Linked DNA regions of Lepisosteus oculatus. The protein of the gene in region 1 binds, or shares a complex with, the protein of each later gene. Links are inferred from orthologs where the notes say so. Each region holds a gene or a part of one and is shown in the gene's direction. Other genes may lie near its edges. The genes, in order: tnrc6c1 and gigyf1a.

Region 1 (8,240 bases):
CCAGAAATAATGAAACACTCTTGTTAAATAATAAACAAAACTATGACATTGGTGGTGCCACAGACTGTTTGAGGTAAGACCTGATATCCTACAGATACTGTGTGTGTGATTTGAGCAAGCTGTGGGAAAGATTAATTTTAGCACGTTTGTGAGTCCAGAACTGTGTAACGGTGGTGACCTTTTATTGTTTGTTTAGCAGGTGCCCTTTGCCTGGGTGATTCAAATCGGTGAAAAAAAATACAGTGCATATCAGTGCTGCCGTACGATAGTAATATTCAAAGACGGTACAGTTCAGTGCAGTGATATCAAGAGCAGCACAAAATGAATACATGTGTAATATACAGCTTGGAGGAGCAATAATGGTACAATTTAAATACCAGTCAAATGCAATCATACTAAGAAAATGCAATGCCAGTGCTGTGTCAAGGATGTTTAAACAATCTCTAGTCTTTCACTTTGATGGTAGGAATCAGACCAGTCCCAGCAATCTGTAATTTTTGTTTCTGGTCTTCCCATGTTCAGTATTGTATGGTTTAAGAATGACGTCTGTAATATTTGTTTGGAAGAACAGGTCTTTCCTTCTGTCCCAGTTTGAGTGGTGCTACCACAGCATCAGACTTCATTCAGAAAGATGCTGGTTTCTCTGCCTCCACAGCTTGCCTTGGTAATCTGTTCCATTAGGCGATACGATTGGAGTTTTTTGGTATTGGGGCACAATCGGCCATAACAAATTTCCCTTTGTGTTTTCCGTTTTTTGGCGTTGTGTTGACACAACTGTCCATATCGGTAGAGCTTTCACCTGTTGTGGTTCCTCAGCCATCTTAACTGTGGCTGAGAAGCGAGAGAGGAGAGAGTTTGGACGATCACACTCATGCCTGCTATAGTCTTTGGATATGTGGCAGGAGGGATGGTTTTTAAAAAGACCTGTCACCTTATTTGGCTGTTTTAGAAATCATTATGAGATGGGACCAGATCAATACAAAAATCTCTTGCCATGTGCTTGTAAGGTGCAATCTTTGGATATTTCTTGTTGTGAAATGCTTAATTATACTATATGGCATGGTTATTAGGATATTTATATCTATGAAAACGGAAGCAGACATGGCGTTTGAATCCACTCCCTTTCTGAAAACTGAGCACGTAACCCTGACTGTGATGGATGATAGAGTCTAAATCAAATAAAAAGGAGTACTGTTTGAATTAAGTAAATTCCTAACCCATTAATACTGATGTCGATGAACATCAACTTTTGTGATACGGTAAAGTTGATTCCATCAAATGGTTTGCGGTTTTATTCCCAGAGCCCGGCATTGTGCTTAACAATGTATTCATCTCTTGCCTCCTATATCCCAGTGCCGTTTTTCTGAAAAGCTGTTTTAAGAACAGGTTGTATTTGCCTCATGGTTTCAGGCTCCCTAGGCGTCCCTGCACACAAATATCAGGTGACAGCTGTACGCCCTTTGTCTTTTCACACAGTGGACACATTTAGCCATGCAGACTAATTTGATTTGCGGAGAGCCAAGGGTGAGTGGAATCCAGGTGTTGGAGACACTCTGACCCATGTGTAACCAGGCAGACAAAACATCCAAGGACGCAGAAAGGCATGTGGAGGGGTAAAGGAAAGGCTGAAGCAGGCCGGGTTGTTCGTAGTTACAGGGTGTTCGTCTGTCTTTGTGTGTTTTGTCTCTGGAAGATAAAGCACTTGAACACATTTCCGTGTTGAAAGGATCACAGGTTATTAAGGGGAAGAACAGGGCATCAAGTTCGTACTTTGAGAACAGCTTAACTTTATGAGTTTTATCGGTGCTTCTGAAAATAGACAAAAAAAATCCCACGGTGGGGATTGTACAGTACCCTGGCTGAGGAAAATGGCGCCTGCGTTATTATGGGCCTGGACAACACAGGGCACCTATTTGGACAGCTGGTGAGAGTGAGATCTGGCTTGATCATTAAATCTCTCACCTGGGTCCGATGGAGGAGTTGACTGTTTCGGGATGTACCCAGTGAGCGAGTTGCTCCAGGAGTGTGAATCAGATGATAAGCCAGCAGCCAAATCACCCTGCAACTCACCACTGGCAGCCCACTGGAGCTCAGCAGGTGTGAGCCTGGTCAGTACCTGGATGGGAGACCTCCTGGGAAAAACTAAGGTTGCTGCTGGAAGAGGTGTTAGTGGGGCCAGCAGGGGGCGCTCACCCTGCGGTCCGTGTGGGTCCTAATGCCCCAGTAGAGTGACAGGGACACTATACTGTAAACAGGCGCCGTCCTTCGGATGAGACGTAAAACCGAGGTCCTGACTCTCTGTAGTCATTAAAAATCCCAGGGTGTTTCTTGAAAAGAGTACCGGCATCCTGGCCAAATTTCCCATTGGCCCTTACCAATCATGGCCTCCTAATAATCCCCATCTATTGGGTTCATCACTCTGCTCTCCTCCCCACTAATAGCTGATGTGTGGTGAGCGTTCTGGCACACTATGGCTGCCGTTGCATCATCCAGGTGGGGCTGCACACTGGGGGTGGTGGAGGGGATCCCCATGACCTGTAAAGTGCTTTGAGTGGAGTGTCCAGAAAAGTGCTATATAAGTGTAAGCAATTATTATTATTATTATTATTATTATTATTATTATTATTATTATTATTATAAGTGACCTGGAAGCGGCAGGTCTAGAAAACAGTAGCAGTAGGGGGAGACGGTTTCTCAGTAGGTTCATTGGGCTTGGCGCTGCCATGTGAGACGCAGACACACAGATAACACTCCTGGTTGTTGGGGAGGGTTTGGGAAACTTAGTGTTCGGGTGGGGGTGGGGGTGGGGGCCCTCCCTTACATTATTCTTACTTTACATGGGCTTATTTGGAATGGTGAGATAATGGGGACACTCCCAAGTAAAACCTCAAAAGAAGCTGCCAGATGACTTACCTTCCGTAACTTCCTCACTTTCTAGTGATGTAATGTTGAACTCCAGACTGTGCCAAATTTGATCTCGCTTCCCTGGAAACGAAACGGATTTCTTAAAGTGAAATACGGAAACCATGCTCTGTTCTTGGTTTAAATGTGCAGTGATTGCTTTCTTTAGAAAAGAAGCACAGCGTTCGATATCTTGGAAAGGTGAACCATAAGAGTTTCTTCTCCATAATGGGATGTTCAGCCAGTCTGTTGTTCTTTTTATTGTTATTGTTACCTGATTTGTTGGTACTATTCCAAGCTAGTTAACTGCAGAAACATTTTTTTCACTTGATTCCATGTATTTGTTTCTGGTTGGTCTAGATCAGGGGTGTCCAGTCCTGGAGAGTCGGTGTGCCTGCAGCTTCACATTCCGACTCGCCTCTTAATGAGCTAAACCAGCTGGTTTCTGGCTGAACTGGACCGATTTTACAGCTCCTCCCAGCTCTTCAGGTGCTGCTGCTTTACAGACACCCAGCAATTCTGCTGACACACTGACCCTTTTGGACCACGATTGGATTTCTTTGCATCAGAATGGTGTGAAGCCATTAGGGTTTAAATTTCCTTCCTACAATGTGCAGACCTCCATCTGCTGGATCCTGGCTTTGTCCGAATATGTCAGCGGTCTGTCTTTTCAGTTTGTCCAGCATGTCGCAGGCTGGACGCTTAGTGAAAGGCTATCTTTAAGCAGGAGCTGGCTGCAGGGGCGTGTTTAAAGAACGTATCTCACTCCAGTTTGAATTTTGCAAATTTTGCAAATTTTCACATTTAAGTAAGAAAAAAAGTCTTTTTTTTCCCTTTAACGTTATACGTGATGGTTTACAAAATGTGTCTCGGTGTCCTTTTTTTCAGCAGTCATTCTCCACCCCTCTACACACACACGGACACCGAGGCAGGCAAAACTGTGGTTTATGCGTTTGTTGAACCCTGGGAAGCTGCACTGATTCTTTCTCTCTACGAAGTTTTTCATATGACTGTGTTCCTGTGACATTGTTCTAACCTGCCCTCCCAGTTCTGACTGGAGGGTTCAAGAGACACTTTCACTTTCCTGCTGCACTTGTGTGTGCCCATCCTGCAGTCTGTGTCTAGCTCAGTGTGGTGCGAAAAATAATAATCGGTTTAAATAGCAGCAGGGGTGGGCTTCCTTCAGTCGTGTGCATTATAAATAGCACTGGTTGCACATGGTTTTGAACATCGTCGGAGAGTTTTTTTTTCTCCTGCATTTTTCAAATCTAGGCACGCACACGGAGAGATGAATGCTTTTCCAGTGCTTTACCCGACACTAAACCGTTCCAGTCACTCAGCATTTTTTCAAAGGCTTTGTTCTGGCTTTAAAAGAGAAACCTCTCTTTTCTTATTTGCTCTGCTTTATCTCTTGACAGGCATCAGTACTGTCAGCTATTTTGATTGACACCTCCCCGTGTTTAAAGCCTGCTTTACATATGGCTTATAGACAGCTTCTGTTTCAATCATTGTAATTAGAGCCTGTTTTATCATATTTAATATTTTTCTTTGGTATTGTTATCTCAGAATACTTTTATTTCTGCATTTGTTTGTGTAATTCATGCATGCATTTCTTATTAGTGAACAAATCCATTTAAGTGAAATAATGATCTGTGTTTCATGCAGGGACTGTGCTGGAATATTTGGTGAATATGTAAGCAATTCTTTTAGTCTAGAATGGAAGAAGATGAAACTATAGTTTTGATACTGTTCACTGTTGTCAAGCGGGTTAGCAGATGAAGTTAATGAATTTCCTGTGCTGAGATTTATAAATCGAAAGCTTTACGTTTTTTTCTATGGCATTTTTAACTTTTAAAAAGCAAGTCAAAGCTTCTGGATTTGGTAAGTAGATTGGCAGGTGTGTGTTTCTGTTCACATTGGTACAACAACATGAGATTTCTTTATGACATTTAAAGATGCACAAAGCTATCCAGAGGTAATCCTGTAGAAAATAACTATTAGATAAATAATGAAGTCAGATGTGTACATATTGTATTAGATCGGATGAAGGCTGTCGCTGAAAGGTGAAGCCTTTATTTGAAAATTGAAACACTTTTCTAAAAATCTGCCTCATTTGTAGTGGTATGAAATGGTCATACATTTTCAAAGAGTTTATTGGTGGCAAGATGCGCTTGTTTTAGGAATGCAAAAGCTGTTGTAAACACCCCGAAATCTATCCAGTCTGCCCTGGAATGTGACTTTATCACGGATCACAATGATTTCCTTTCAGGTACCTAAACGGAGCGGTGGGACACATGCCTCTGTCCGTTGGTAAGGGGGTGACTTAACTACAAAATGGGTCTTCTGCCTTCGTGGGCATTCCAGCTCTACTTGGCTTTTCCCCTTGCAGTCCCTTGAGAAGCCCTATTGCTTCTGTTAATTGCTGGAGATTTGAAGCGGTTTACTGTATGGGTGCTTCTAGGGTGGGGGCGAGCTTGTTTTTGTGTGACTAGTGGGTGCCTTGTGGTATTAACCCCAGTGTTGCTCCTGGGCTCAGTCCCGGGACTGGGATGTGTCTTTTGCAAGGACCTCTGTTTGCAGATCTTTGGATTCTCAAGCGTTGGAGGGCAATGAGGCTAGAGGAAGTCATGGTTTTTGAGGACTCATTGAGGTGTGGTAGCCCCAGCCCCCCCCCCCCTTCAGACTTTCTTGTCCTTAATCCTTTTGTCTAATTCCTCAACTGTGGAGATCACTGAGGTTTGTGGTTGGCTGTACTGGCAAAGGAGCCTGTGCAGGTTGAGCTCTTGTGATCTAGGCATCCTCACCTGTGTGCACCGAGCGGTGCTGATGACCGGCTTGGGGTGAGTTCGCTGGGCTGTCGTGGGCCCCCAGCGACGCGGCGACTTCCCTGGATACCCGCGTGCCTGCTGTCCCGACACGCCAGTCGGGAGTGCATGTCTGCGATGCCGAGCCTCCTGAACACGGGAGAGGCTGCGGCCGGCTCCGTCTGCTCTTCCTCACCCGCGGTCCCGGGGCTTGTAGCCTTGAGCCGGGATACGAAACTACTCTGGACTTGCCAAGTGTGAGAAAGTAATTGAAAACCGGAAACCAAATAAAAAAAAACAAAAACAAAAAGCTTGCATATTGTGGGCCCTACCTTTAGAGCGAGCAGGAAAACTCTAGGCTGGGGTGTCTCTGGGTTAGAGGGATGTGTGTCGGGGCTGCAGTGCAGTAGTTAAGCGTCTCTTTGGATGTTGTTGGACTGGGTTGTACAGGATGAACACTGCGTTTTGGTCCAGGAGGTAAACCTTTGCCACTCAGAAACCTGATTCTTGGTCAGTCGCGTTTTAAGTGTGGTGCTTTTCCCCCCATGGTAAAGGCAGTTTCTGTGGTTATATATAATTTCATTTAAATCTGTCCTTTCATTGAGTAATTTCCCTTTCTTGCACTGACTTGTTTTATACAGTTCTTACTAAGCAGCTGGCATTACGTGATAGTTGTACCTCATTTTCCAAAGAAAGAAAACTTGTGACCAGATGGATGATTTTGAGGCCACATAGTCAAACCCTCACACTTTCTTCACAACGGAAATTGATTTTATAGACATGCTAGTACATTAACATTCCATTTCCCTTCCAGAAGTCCTTATTGTTTGCTCATTTCTTATTTATTCTTGGCATAATCTTAACTGTTGTGTCTACAGAAATCCTGTAGTGCAGATATGACTGTACCCAAGTTAAAGACATCTGCTACCTATATGCGAAAGTGTTTTGTTTTTGCAGGCTAACGAATACATGGGCTACACTTGGAGGAAATGAAAATCTTAGCTGGGTGATTTAGAAATGAGTCATGAGTTCTGTTTTTAGAGCTATTGAGACTTTCAAAGTGAAGTATTTGAAAAAATTAGTTTGTCATGAGGTGGTAAAATCATAGTTAGAGCAGAGGGGGTACAGTTTTACATCTGCCAGAACGAACCACATCACACGGAGAAGGGGGTTAAGTATTTCTGAACCATCAAATTAGAGACCGTAATGCAGGATTTCTACATCTTCCCCCAACCCCCCCCTTCTGTTTTGCAGCGACATCTGTTTTTTTTTTAAGCTTTCTTGATCCGTTTGGTCTTTCCTCGGATGTTCCGGGTTCAAGCGTCGGGTTGCGGGATTGCCGGATTAAGTCCCATTCGGGAAAGCTTGGAAAGCTGCGACTTCCTCAAGCGAGAGTCGCGGCAGGCAGGCAGGCAGGCAGGAGAGAGAGAGAGGCCGTGGCCGCCGTGTCCGGCCGCAGGTCTCCTCCCGGCCCTGCGGCTGGTGCTGGCCGGAGGGCCCTGTGGGAACGCGCACCTCTGTCTTGCAGCGCCGACATTCTTGGCCTTCAGCCCGGAGCGTCGGGCTCCGCTCGCCTCCCTCCGGTTTCTCCTTCTCCCCCCCTCCCTCTGCGTCTCTCTTCTGGCCGAGGCGCGCAGGAGCACGGACCCGTGCCTGGTGGCTGGAGATGGAAAGGGCTCTTCCTGAGCAGCCGTCTGCCCCCCCCCCCCCGCTCACGTTCGCCCCTCTGCATTTCCTGCCCTGCTCCTCTGCTCTTCTTGCCTTCTGCCTCCTCCCCCCCCCCCGGCGAGCGGGTCGCGTCTGGGCTCCTGCGTTGTGCCGTCAGCCCGGACTTACTGTGTTTTTAAATAGTTTTGGGGGCAAACTTTCTTCTTTTTTTTCCACTCCAGCGGCTGGGGGACGGCTGACCTCCAAAAAACAAACAAACAAACAAACAAACAAACAACGTATGTTCCCCCGGCTCACGTTGAAGTATCGCTGCCAAGTGAGCTGATGGCGTCTTAAGACCCGTTTTGTTAAGACCCCTCGTGGGTCATCTGGCACTTACAGGTCTACTGTAGCTGTGTGCTGCTGTAGCCTTCATGTTATTCAGCTGAGCCCTGTTGAGTAATACTGGATAATAAAAACCAGGAGACCTCCGTGCCCTTGAGTGCTCGCTGGCCTTGTTTTGATTGGACGCTGCAGAAGCTCAAGATCTGGCTGCCGTTATCTTGCCACAAATAAAGAAATGGAACATTTTTCCATTATTTGCAACTTTTCTTTTCACTCCCTTCGGAAAGAGCTTTCTGCCGCGCAGCTAAAGGCAGAGAGAAATTCCCTGCCGCATCCCCCCACCCCCACCCCATTCCAGGCTGTCCAGTTCTTACTTAAATCCCAAAGGTCTTTTTAATCTTCACCGTTCGTATGTAACGGTTGCCTGTGCCTGCACTCCGGACCTGGAAGACCTGCGCGGGAGGCAGAGCCCGTGCCGAGTCTTTCATCATTAGAAAGAACAGTCATGATAGAAGAGATGTGAAAGAAGATAATCGCCCAGTA
Region 2 (8,469 bases), on another chromosome or scaffold:
GTGATGAGTGTGAATGTGAAGATACAGATGAGCTGGACTGAGTGTCTTTACAGTCTCTACAGATCTGATGGTGATGTGTGTTAATGTGAAGTTACGGATGAGCGAGATTGTTTTGCTCATTTTTAACAAATGCAGCACCAGTTTACAAAGGTATGGATGACCTGACTTTTATTTTCTCCGATGTTTGCATGAACTATTGAGATGCAGACCTTCTAGATGCTACTGCGTGAGTGCCCCCTAGTGATAATATTAAATTATTACATAGGATATACAAGACTGTAAAGGAACAATAGGTTTATTCCATGCTGAAAAGACAAGAAAGAAAACAAAAATTTTTGGCCGTGAAGCCTTCTTCTTCTTCACCTGAAACCTATTACTTGTTCCTCTGCAGCCTACGCATGCTGACCACCTGAACTAATACAAGACTGTAATTGAGTTAATTATCAGCTGGGAAGGAAGCTTACAGCAAAGAATGGTGAAGCACAAAGAACACACAAAAACAAATTAGACTCCCACTCCAGGTTTTATAGTATGGTCAATCAGTCTCCCATTGCACAGCAGTCTGATCCACTCCGGGTTTTACAGCGATTGCCATCAGGTTCTCACTGCACAGCAGGAGCTGATCCACCCCAGGTATTACCAGCTGAAGGAGGCTCTTGCACTAATGGTACTGATGAAATCAGAAAGGCATCCTGTAGTATAGCCTGGCCTCCACAGACCTGTTGGTGTAAATGTCTGCAAGTGCAAGCAGCAGGCTTGGGAATCTGCCTTACCTACTGTTGGATTATTGACATACCAATCCTAAGAGATGCCAGGGGATTCAGTCAAACAGAAAAGACTTTTATTTACAGAGGAACAATCAGAAACAAAACAACCGTCCCGTGTCAAGTGTGCCCACACGGATGTACCCATGACCTCCCAGGGGCTGAAATACACACGAACAGCCAAGCACTGCAGCTCTGCACTGGTCACCCTCCTCCGTCCGCCTCACTGCTCTGCCTTTCCAGCCTGAATCCAAGCGGACCAGAGGCACCCACTCCTTCCTGGATCCCTCAGGACAAACCCGCACCCGGAACGCAAGTCCGTTTTCGCTGATGTCTCACGACGTGAAACACGACACGACTGCCGATGGGATGAAAACTACTCTATCAGCGTCATTCTTTTTGCACAGCATCTCCTTGGCCGACACCGTCAGGGAAAGGCTGCTGCTCAGATTCCAGCCTCGTCCTGTTCACGGCACAGAGTCAAGGCTCTCGCCTGGAAAAAGGGCGATGGGGCAGAAAGGGCGCTGGGCCTGCGCAGGCCCACCCCACCCAGCAGGACCCACGCACCTTCTCCAGCAGCGCGGCGGTGTGATCAGGCTGTCAGCTCTTGTCCCAGCAGTCATTAAACCACAGCAACGGCCGAGAAGTGACGACCTGCTCAGAGACCAGCTGGGGGGGGGGGGGCACGCAGGGGCGATCAGGAGCCTGGGCCGTCCTGCCGCGGATCAGTGCAACACCGCGTGCAGACGGGATCTCCCAACGCGCTGTCCTCCGAGAGCCAGAATGCCCCGGGACCGGAGACCCTGCGGGACCGGTCAGCGCGTCCCTGCCCGCTCCAGTCCCCTCAGTGCCCCTCGCCGTAGAAGACCTTGATGTGGATGGCGGAGTTGTTGCGCGTGCGGGTCAGCGGCTCGCCCCCCTCCTCGTCCTCGGGCTCCAGGTCGTCCACCAGCTCCACGGTGGAGGTGTTGGCGGCGATCTGCAGCGCCCCCTGGCTGGCGGCCTGCAGCTGCAGCGCGATGTTGATGGCGCGGTTGATGGCCAGGCCCAGGCCGTGCACGCAGATCTCCCGCTGCCCGCCGCCCTCCAGCAGCTTCTGGCAGCGGGCCAGCTGGGCGCGGAAGTCGGTCTTCATGTTGACGTAGACGTCGTTGCGGCGGCGCGGCAGCTTGCGCGGGAGCCGCTTCCGCAGGGTGAACTCCACGGGGTCCATCTCCACCTCGCCAGCGCCCCCCAGTGGCCGGGCAGTGCCTCCACTGGCAGGGACAGACACAGGACTCCGGGGATCTGCCATCACACTGGAACAGGAGCAGGCAGAGAGAGGGAGAGAGGAGCAGGCAGGGAGAGGGGGAGAGGAGCAGGCAGGGAGAGGGGGAGAGGAGCAGGCAGGGAGAGGGAGAGGGAGGAGGAGCAGGCAGAGGGAGTTGGTGTTGTGTTAAAACATAATTACTTTGTGAACAATATTGGCTAATACATTAATATCCAGCAATATATATGCAATCATATTGTCCTGTGCCAAGTAGCATTGCCTTTGACAACAGTAGAATATCATCACACTCCTCTCTGTACAAATGTAGTCATAAACGGAGTATGTGTACTGTCTTTTTAATATATGAAGGAGAACACCAAGGTAGAGAATTCCTGGGTTAAACCTGGGTTTTATTCTTTATGTAAAACTGCAGAAACATGTACTGTACATATTTTTTTTGCCTAATCTTTAAATATTCAATGGAATACATTTATGATGACTTTGTCAGTAAAACTTACACATCCAGTTGGTTTACTGTTACTGTTATTGTTGGTCGATTGTCAGACGCCTCCAAAGCTTTTAGCCTATGTTTACACCAAATGTATTTGAATTTGGAATTACGCGGCGAAACGCAGGGAATGTGTCATTTTAAGGGAGAAGAGACAGAATTTCTTTGCTGGTTTGCACAGCCATGAATGGAGAGATACAGTAATGCCAAACAAAATGAAAACAATCCCAGGACGACACGCAAGTCGTAGCTAACAGAGCAATACATTTTATGAAGAGTTATTTTGCTGGCAAATGTGTTCCGAAAAGTTCCGGAATAAAATCCTCCTGATTTCATCATTCAAAGTTTCGGCTTCATCGGTTTTACTCTCACGTTTTCGTAATAAACGTGTTCGCGCTCTTTAGTGAAATCGGACGACAGCACAGTGAACATACAACATTTATTTCTGCCTTAATAAAGCGAGTTAAGTTTAGGGGGGCTTTATGCCCTGGTGAAGGCCGATTAGGTGAGCTTCTCTGGCGGCTTAACGCGTCAGGAAACATCGGTGCAGATGACGTGGCCCACCTCTTTGCGGTAACTTAAAACGGCTCCTGACATTGGTTCAGCTAGTTCGTTTGTTTTTGTTTTTTTATTTTGCACACCGAAACCACTGACCTTTTCTCCAAGTGAAAGAACTGAAGACTACAGATCGACGTCGGTGGTGTCGTTCGTGCTGTTGCGACCCGGACAGCGGCCTCGGCTCCCCGTCCTGGGGCTTCGCATGCAGAGAGACGGAAGGGTTTTAGAGCGACACCGCTGAACTGGTCCGACCCGGAAAGGCGGAAAGCCCCGGTAGGACAACGTTAATAGACGGACGCCACAGCGACCAACAAATGCATGACAACGAGGAGTTAGCGCCTATATATAGATACAGTATGTGAACCCCTGAAAAACTTAATTGATTTAAGTTTGAAGTCCAATAGCCATCTGAAACGGCAAGAAGTTCCTCTATGTGGCATAAAAGTGTTGAATTATGGAACTTCATACAACGGCTGGTGGATTTTTAAAGTTATTTTAGCCACATATTGAATTTTTTCCCTAAAATATGTGCTGCTCTGACATCTAGAGGAGGAAGTTTAAGCCGATGCTATGGAGGTGGATTTTATGAGTGCCCGGTGTCTGGAAACCAGCTGTGTCTGAGAGAGACGAGACCCAGGCTCACGCATGAGAGGGGAGGCGGGAAATGACCCCGAGAGTGACCTTTCAGAAACCAGACCGGAGGCAGAACATGCAAACACCACATGGTCAGGCCTGTGATGGACGCAGCCATGCGCGTTTTCCAATAGTCCCAGAAGGGAGTTTCCAGATCTGCAGAGGCGAAGGAGGAATGAAGCGTATGAGTTGACTTGCACAACGTTCTCCCAGCTGACAGGAGGGTCACTTCACAAGCGCACAAGTGCATACAAAGAGTTACAAAAGTGAGCAGGCCCCTCTGCCCCTCGTGCTAATTGGATTGCTAATGAGCCACAAATCCTATCCAGCCCTTTCTTATAAGATCCAGGGGAATCAGCTTCAACAGAGCTCTTGGGCAACGTTTTCCAGAAACCCACTGTCCTTTGTGTGAAGATATGTCATCCGTTCTCTGCCCTGAGTGCTGCTGAAAGAGGTGTATTTAAATCAGAGGCGCCCAGCTCTGGGGCTTGCAGGTCCCTTTAAACCTTCACCTGCTGCAGAGCAAGGAAAAGGCTTCTTGTACAGTTAATGCAAGGCTGTCGAGTCCTGGTGATGGAGGAGTCAGTGTGTCTGCAGTCTCTCCTGGTCTGTTTAAAGCAGGGCTGTCCAGTCCTGGTCCTGGAGGGGTCAGTGTGTCTACAGTCTCTCCAGGTCTCTTTTAAGCAGGGCTGTCCAGTCCTGGTCCTGGAGGGGTCAGTGTGTCTGCAGTCTCTCCTGGTCTGTTTAAAGCAGGGCTGTCCAGTCCTGGTCCTGGAGGGGTCAGTGTGTTTACAGTCTCTCCAGGTCTCTTTAAAGCAGGGCTGTCCAGTCCTGGTCCTGGAGGGGTCAGTGTGTCTGCAGTCTCTCCTGGTCTGTTTAAAGCAGGGCTGTCCAGTCCTGGTCCTGGAGGGGTCAGTGTGTTTACAGTCTCTCCAGGTCTCTTTAAAGCAGGGCTGTCCAGTCCTGGTTCTGGAGGGGTCAGTGTGTCTGCAGTCTCTCCTGGTCTCTTTAAAGCAGGGCTTTCCAGTCCTGGTCCTGGAGGGGTCAGTTTTCTGCAGTCTCTCCAGGTCTCTTTAAAGCAGCGCTGTCCAGTCCTGGTTCTGGAGGGGTCAGTGTGTCTGCAGTCTCTCCTGGTCTGTTTAAAGCAGGGCTGTCCAGTCCTGGTCCTGGAGGGGTCAGTGTGTCTGCAGTCTCTCCAGGTCTCTTTAAAGCAAGCTGTCTAGTCCTGGTCCAGGAGGGCCTTTCGTGTTTTTCATTGCAAGCTGGTTTTAGTTAAGGGGTCCACATGAACAGCACTCCACACATTATGCTGGCGCATTAAGTGAAAAAACAGAGTTAGAAGCCGGAGCCGCGCGGCATCCTCCAACCCTGCTGGATCATATATCACGTGACAGGGGGCGACTTCTGTGGTTCGGGGAAAAACTCAGCTTCTCGAGCTCCCCTATCACGTGGCGCGAGTAGGACGGCCATCTTTTTTTAAAACACAAACAAGGAGCGAGTGAGCACAGCGACAAACGCGCAACGACTGTTGGATACTACTTGCATTTAAAAATAGAATTTAAAACAACAGTAGTAATAATAGTTATTAATAATAATAGCAGCGAGTAATCCGGCGGAGGAAAAAAAATCGAGACAGCGGAAAGAAGACGAACAAAATAATTCAAGGAGAGAGAAATACATTTAAAAAACTCAAGTCGGGAACATAAACAAAACGCAGGTAAGCGCCAGACTTGCTTCTTCCCGGGTTTAACTGTATTTTTTAGGAGGAGGTGTGTGTGTAAGCGACAAGGGTGCGGTTTGTCTGTTTGGGGGGCTCTAAGTCTTGCGCGGATTGAGGGTTTCTTTCGCCTCGTCGTGGGGATGAAAGGGCAGGAGGAAAGACCGAGAGCAGGTGAAGGCCGCGGCGAGAGCAGCGGGGTAGAGTTGGAGGGGCGGCCGGCGGGGAGGGGAGGTGGGCGGGAGGGGGTCAGTGCCTCTCACACCCCGCCCCCCCCTCCTCCTCCTCCTCCCCCTCCCTGCTGGAAGGCCTGCAGCGTCGGGCCCCCTCTCTCCCGACCGGGAATCTCGGGGGCTGGATCGGTGCAGGATCGCCCGGCGTGCACAGCTGTGCGACACCCGTCTTTTTTGGAACTTGCACGGGTTTGTTTGTTTTTAGTTTGTTCCTCCCACGACAGCCTCAGTAACGTCGCTTTGCACCGCGCAGGGTAGGCCGTTGCTGGGACGTCGCCGCAGCTGCAGCTGCTTCTGCCATCGGTGCTGTAACAAGGTGGTGCTGCGTTTCCTGCGCCGCTCATGCGTTAATCAAGACCGGGCGGCAGGGCTGGCGGGGCGGCGTGAGCGCAGAGCGGGTCGTGTCGGTGTTCACGGTGCCGATGGTGCGCCTGTTCTGACGCCGTGGAGGTGACGGACTGCAGCCGCGCAGTGGGTCCGGGAGCCTGGCGTGTGGGGTGGGGACGGGCAGTTTTCAGGGGGCGCCGTGCAGCTCCCCGCAAGCTAGGACTGTCCCCCCTGAGGTGCTTGTCACCGTACCAAGGTGCAGACGGGTTTGTGGCGGCGGCGGCGGCGGCGAGTTTTTGTGTTTTGAAGTTTTGTTCGGATGCGCTAAAACCGCGCAGGGCAGTGCGCGCACTCCGATCCCTGCGAGCTGGCGCTGGCCTGTGGTTCAGGGAGCTGGGTGATTTTCTGCGTGCGGTCCGTGGAGGTGTGGTCCCGCACGGACGTTGTTTTGGACGGTCTCGCCGTGCGTTTTTGGCAGGGGGCTGTCAGGTCCGGCACCTGCGTTCCCCGTCATCCATAAAAAAAATTCCCCCAGGGGACGATAAAAATCTGATCTATCTTATCTCATTAAAGCCTACTCTCCGGCTGATCCTTCGTTATCGATCGGAGCGAATTCAGCAATCAAGGGTCGATTCAGTACTTATTGGAAAGTGGACGGCCCTGCGCTGCGATGAAATCCTGAGTTAGGTGCCCCTCGGTGACCGAGCACTCACGAAAGTGAGGCACTGAGACCTGGGTTTCTTCATAACTCGGTCTCCGCCTGGACCAGTGATACACACTATTCTCTCTGATGGTTTAAACCAGTATAGTTGTCCGGATCTGGAGCTGGGCTGGTCAGCAACAAAGCAGTGTTGCCTTTAGGGGGAGGATTGAGTTTCTTTTTCAGCTGTTCGGTACTTTACTTTAAGGCACGTTTGTATGATTTTGTCTATTCAGAGTGTTTTGTTTCTTTAAGGCATTGCTTTGGAGGGGGGTAACTATTGAGACGATGATGAGAATACCATGAGACTTGAAAGCACCGTTTTTAAAGACTGAAATGTTTTTATTTTAAATAAAAATTTTGTCAGTGGTGGTTCTATCAGTGTCTGCTGTGTTACAGTTCACAGCAGGGTGTGACAGTGTGTGTGTGTGCTGGTGAATTAATGGTGAATGTGAGAGGAGAGGGACAGCAGTGGCTCTAGCAGTGTCTACAGTACAGTCAGGTGTGACAGTGTGTGTGTGCTGGTGAATTCAGGGGGAGTGTGAGAGGAGAGGGACAGCAGTGGCTCTAGCAGTGTCTACAGTACAGTCAAGTGTGACAGTGTGTGTGTGCTGGTGAATTCAGGGGGAGTGTGAGAGGAGAGGGACAGCAGTGGCTCTAGCAGTGTCTACAGTACAGTCAAGTGTGACAGTGTGTGTGTGCTGGTGAATTCAGGGGGAGTGTGAGAGGAGAGGGACAGCAGTGGCTCTAGCAGTGTCTACAGTCCAGTCAGGTGTGACAGTGTGTGTGTGTGTGCTGGTGAATTCAGGGGGAGTGTGAGAGGAGAGGGACAGCAGTGGCTCTAGCAGTGTCTACAGTCCAGTCAGGTGTGACAGTGTGTGTGTGTGTGCTGGTGAATTCAGGGGGAGTGTGAGAGGAGAGGGACAGCAGTGGCTCTAGCAGTGTCTACAGTACAGTCAAGTGTGACAGTGTGTGTGTGCTGGTGAATTCAGGGGGAGTGTGAGAGGAGAGGGACAGCAGTGGCTCTAGCAGTGTCTACAGTCCAGTCAGGTGTGACAGTGTGTGTGTGTGTGCTGGTGAATTCAGGGGGAGTGTGAGAGGAGAGGGACAGCAGTGGCTCTAGCAGTGTCTACAGTCCAGTCAGGTGTGACAGTGTGTGTGTGTGTGCTGGTGAATTCAGGGGGAGTGTGAGAGGAGAGGGACAGCAGTGGCTCTAGCAGTGTCTACAGTCCAGTCAGGTGTGACAGTGTGTGTGTGTGCTGGTGAATTCAGGGGGAGTGTGAGAGGAGAGGGACAGCAGTGGCTCTAGCAGTGTCTACAGTCCAGTCAGGTGTGACAGTGTGTGTGTGTGTGCTGGTGAATTCAGGGGGAGTGTGAGAGGAGAGGGACAGCAGTGGCTCTAGCAGTGTCTACAGTACAGTCAGGTGTGACAGTGTGTGTGTGTGCTGGTGAATTCAGGGTGAGTGTGAGAGGAGAGGGACAGCAGTGGCTCTAGCAGTGTTTATAGTACAGTCAGGTGTGACAGTGTGTGTGTGCTGGTGAATTCAGGGGGAGTGTGAGAGGAGAGGGACAGCAGTGGCTCTAGCAGTGTCTACAGTACAGTCAGGTGTGACAGTGTGTGTGTGTGCTGGTGAATTCAGGGTGAGTGTGAGAGGAGAGGGACAGCAGTGGCTCTAGCAGTGTCTACAGTACAGTCAGGTGTGACAGTGTGTGTGTGTGCTGGTGAATTCAGGGGGAGTGTGAGAGGAGAGGGACAGCAGTGGCTCTAGCAGTGTCTACA

What was found.
Region 2: the proteins of tnrc6c1 (region 1) and gigyf1a are in contact, whole or in part, in a crystal structure (PDB 7RUQ), measured with the Homo sapiens proteins. The link is inferred for Lepisosteus oculatus from reciprocal best matches to the Homo sapiens genes TNRC6C and GIGYF1. Residues at the interface, in NP_001136112.2 of Homo sapiens: Arg1719, Pro1720, Pro1721, Pro1722, Gly1723, Leu1724, Thr1725; in NP_001362694.1 of Homo sapiens: Tyr479, Asp481, Pro482, Gln487, Phe490, Trp498, Tyr503, Phe504, Leu508.

What each region holds. Positions count from the first base shown.
Region 1 is NC_090704.1:44,664,540-44,672,779, forward strand, and holds the start of tnrc6c1 (trinucleotide repeat-containing gene 6C protein), read left to right. Parts: upstream 1-4,944; 5' UTR 4,945-5,155; coding exon 5,156-5,211; intron 5,212-8,240. UniProt on the Homo sapiens protein: Plays a role in RNA-mediated gene silencing by micro-RNAs (miRNAs). Required for miRNA-dependent translational repression of complementary mRNAs by argonaute family proteins.
Region 2 is NC_090698.1:9,897,738-9,906,206, forward strand, and holds the start of gigyf1a (GRB10-interacting GYF protein 1), read left to right. Parts: upstream 1-5,171; 5' UTR 5,172-5,429; intron 5,430-8,469. Other genes in the region: pop7 (ribonuclease P protein subunit p20), read right to left, coding at 1,609-2,058. UniProt on the Homo sapiens protein: May act cooperatively with GRB10 to regulate tyrosine kinase receptor signaling. May increase IGF1 receptor phosphorylation under IGF1 stimulation as well as phosphorylation of IRS1 and SHC1.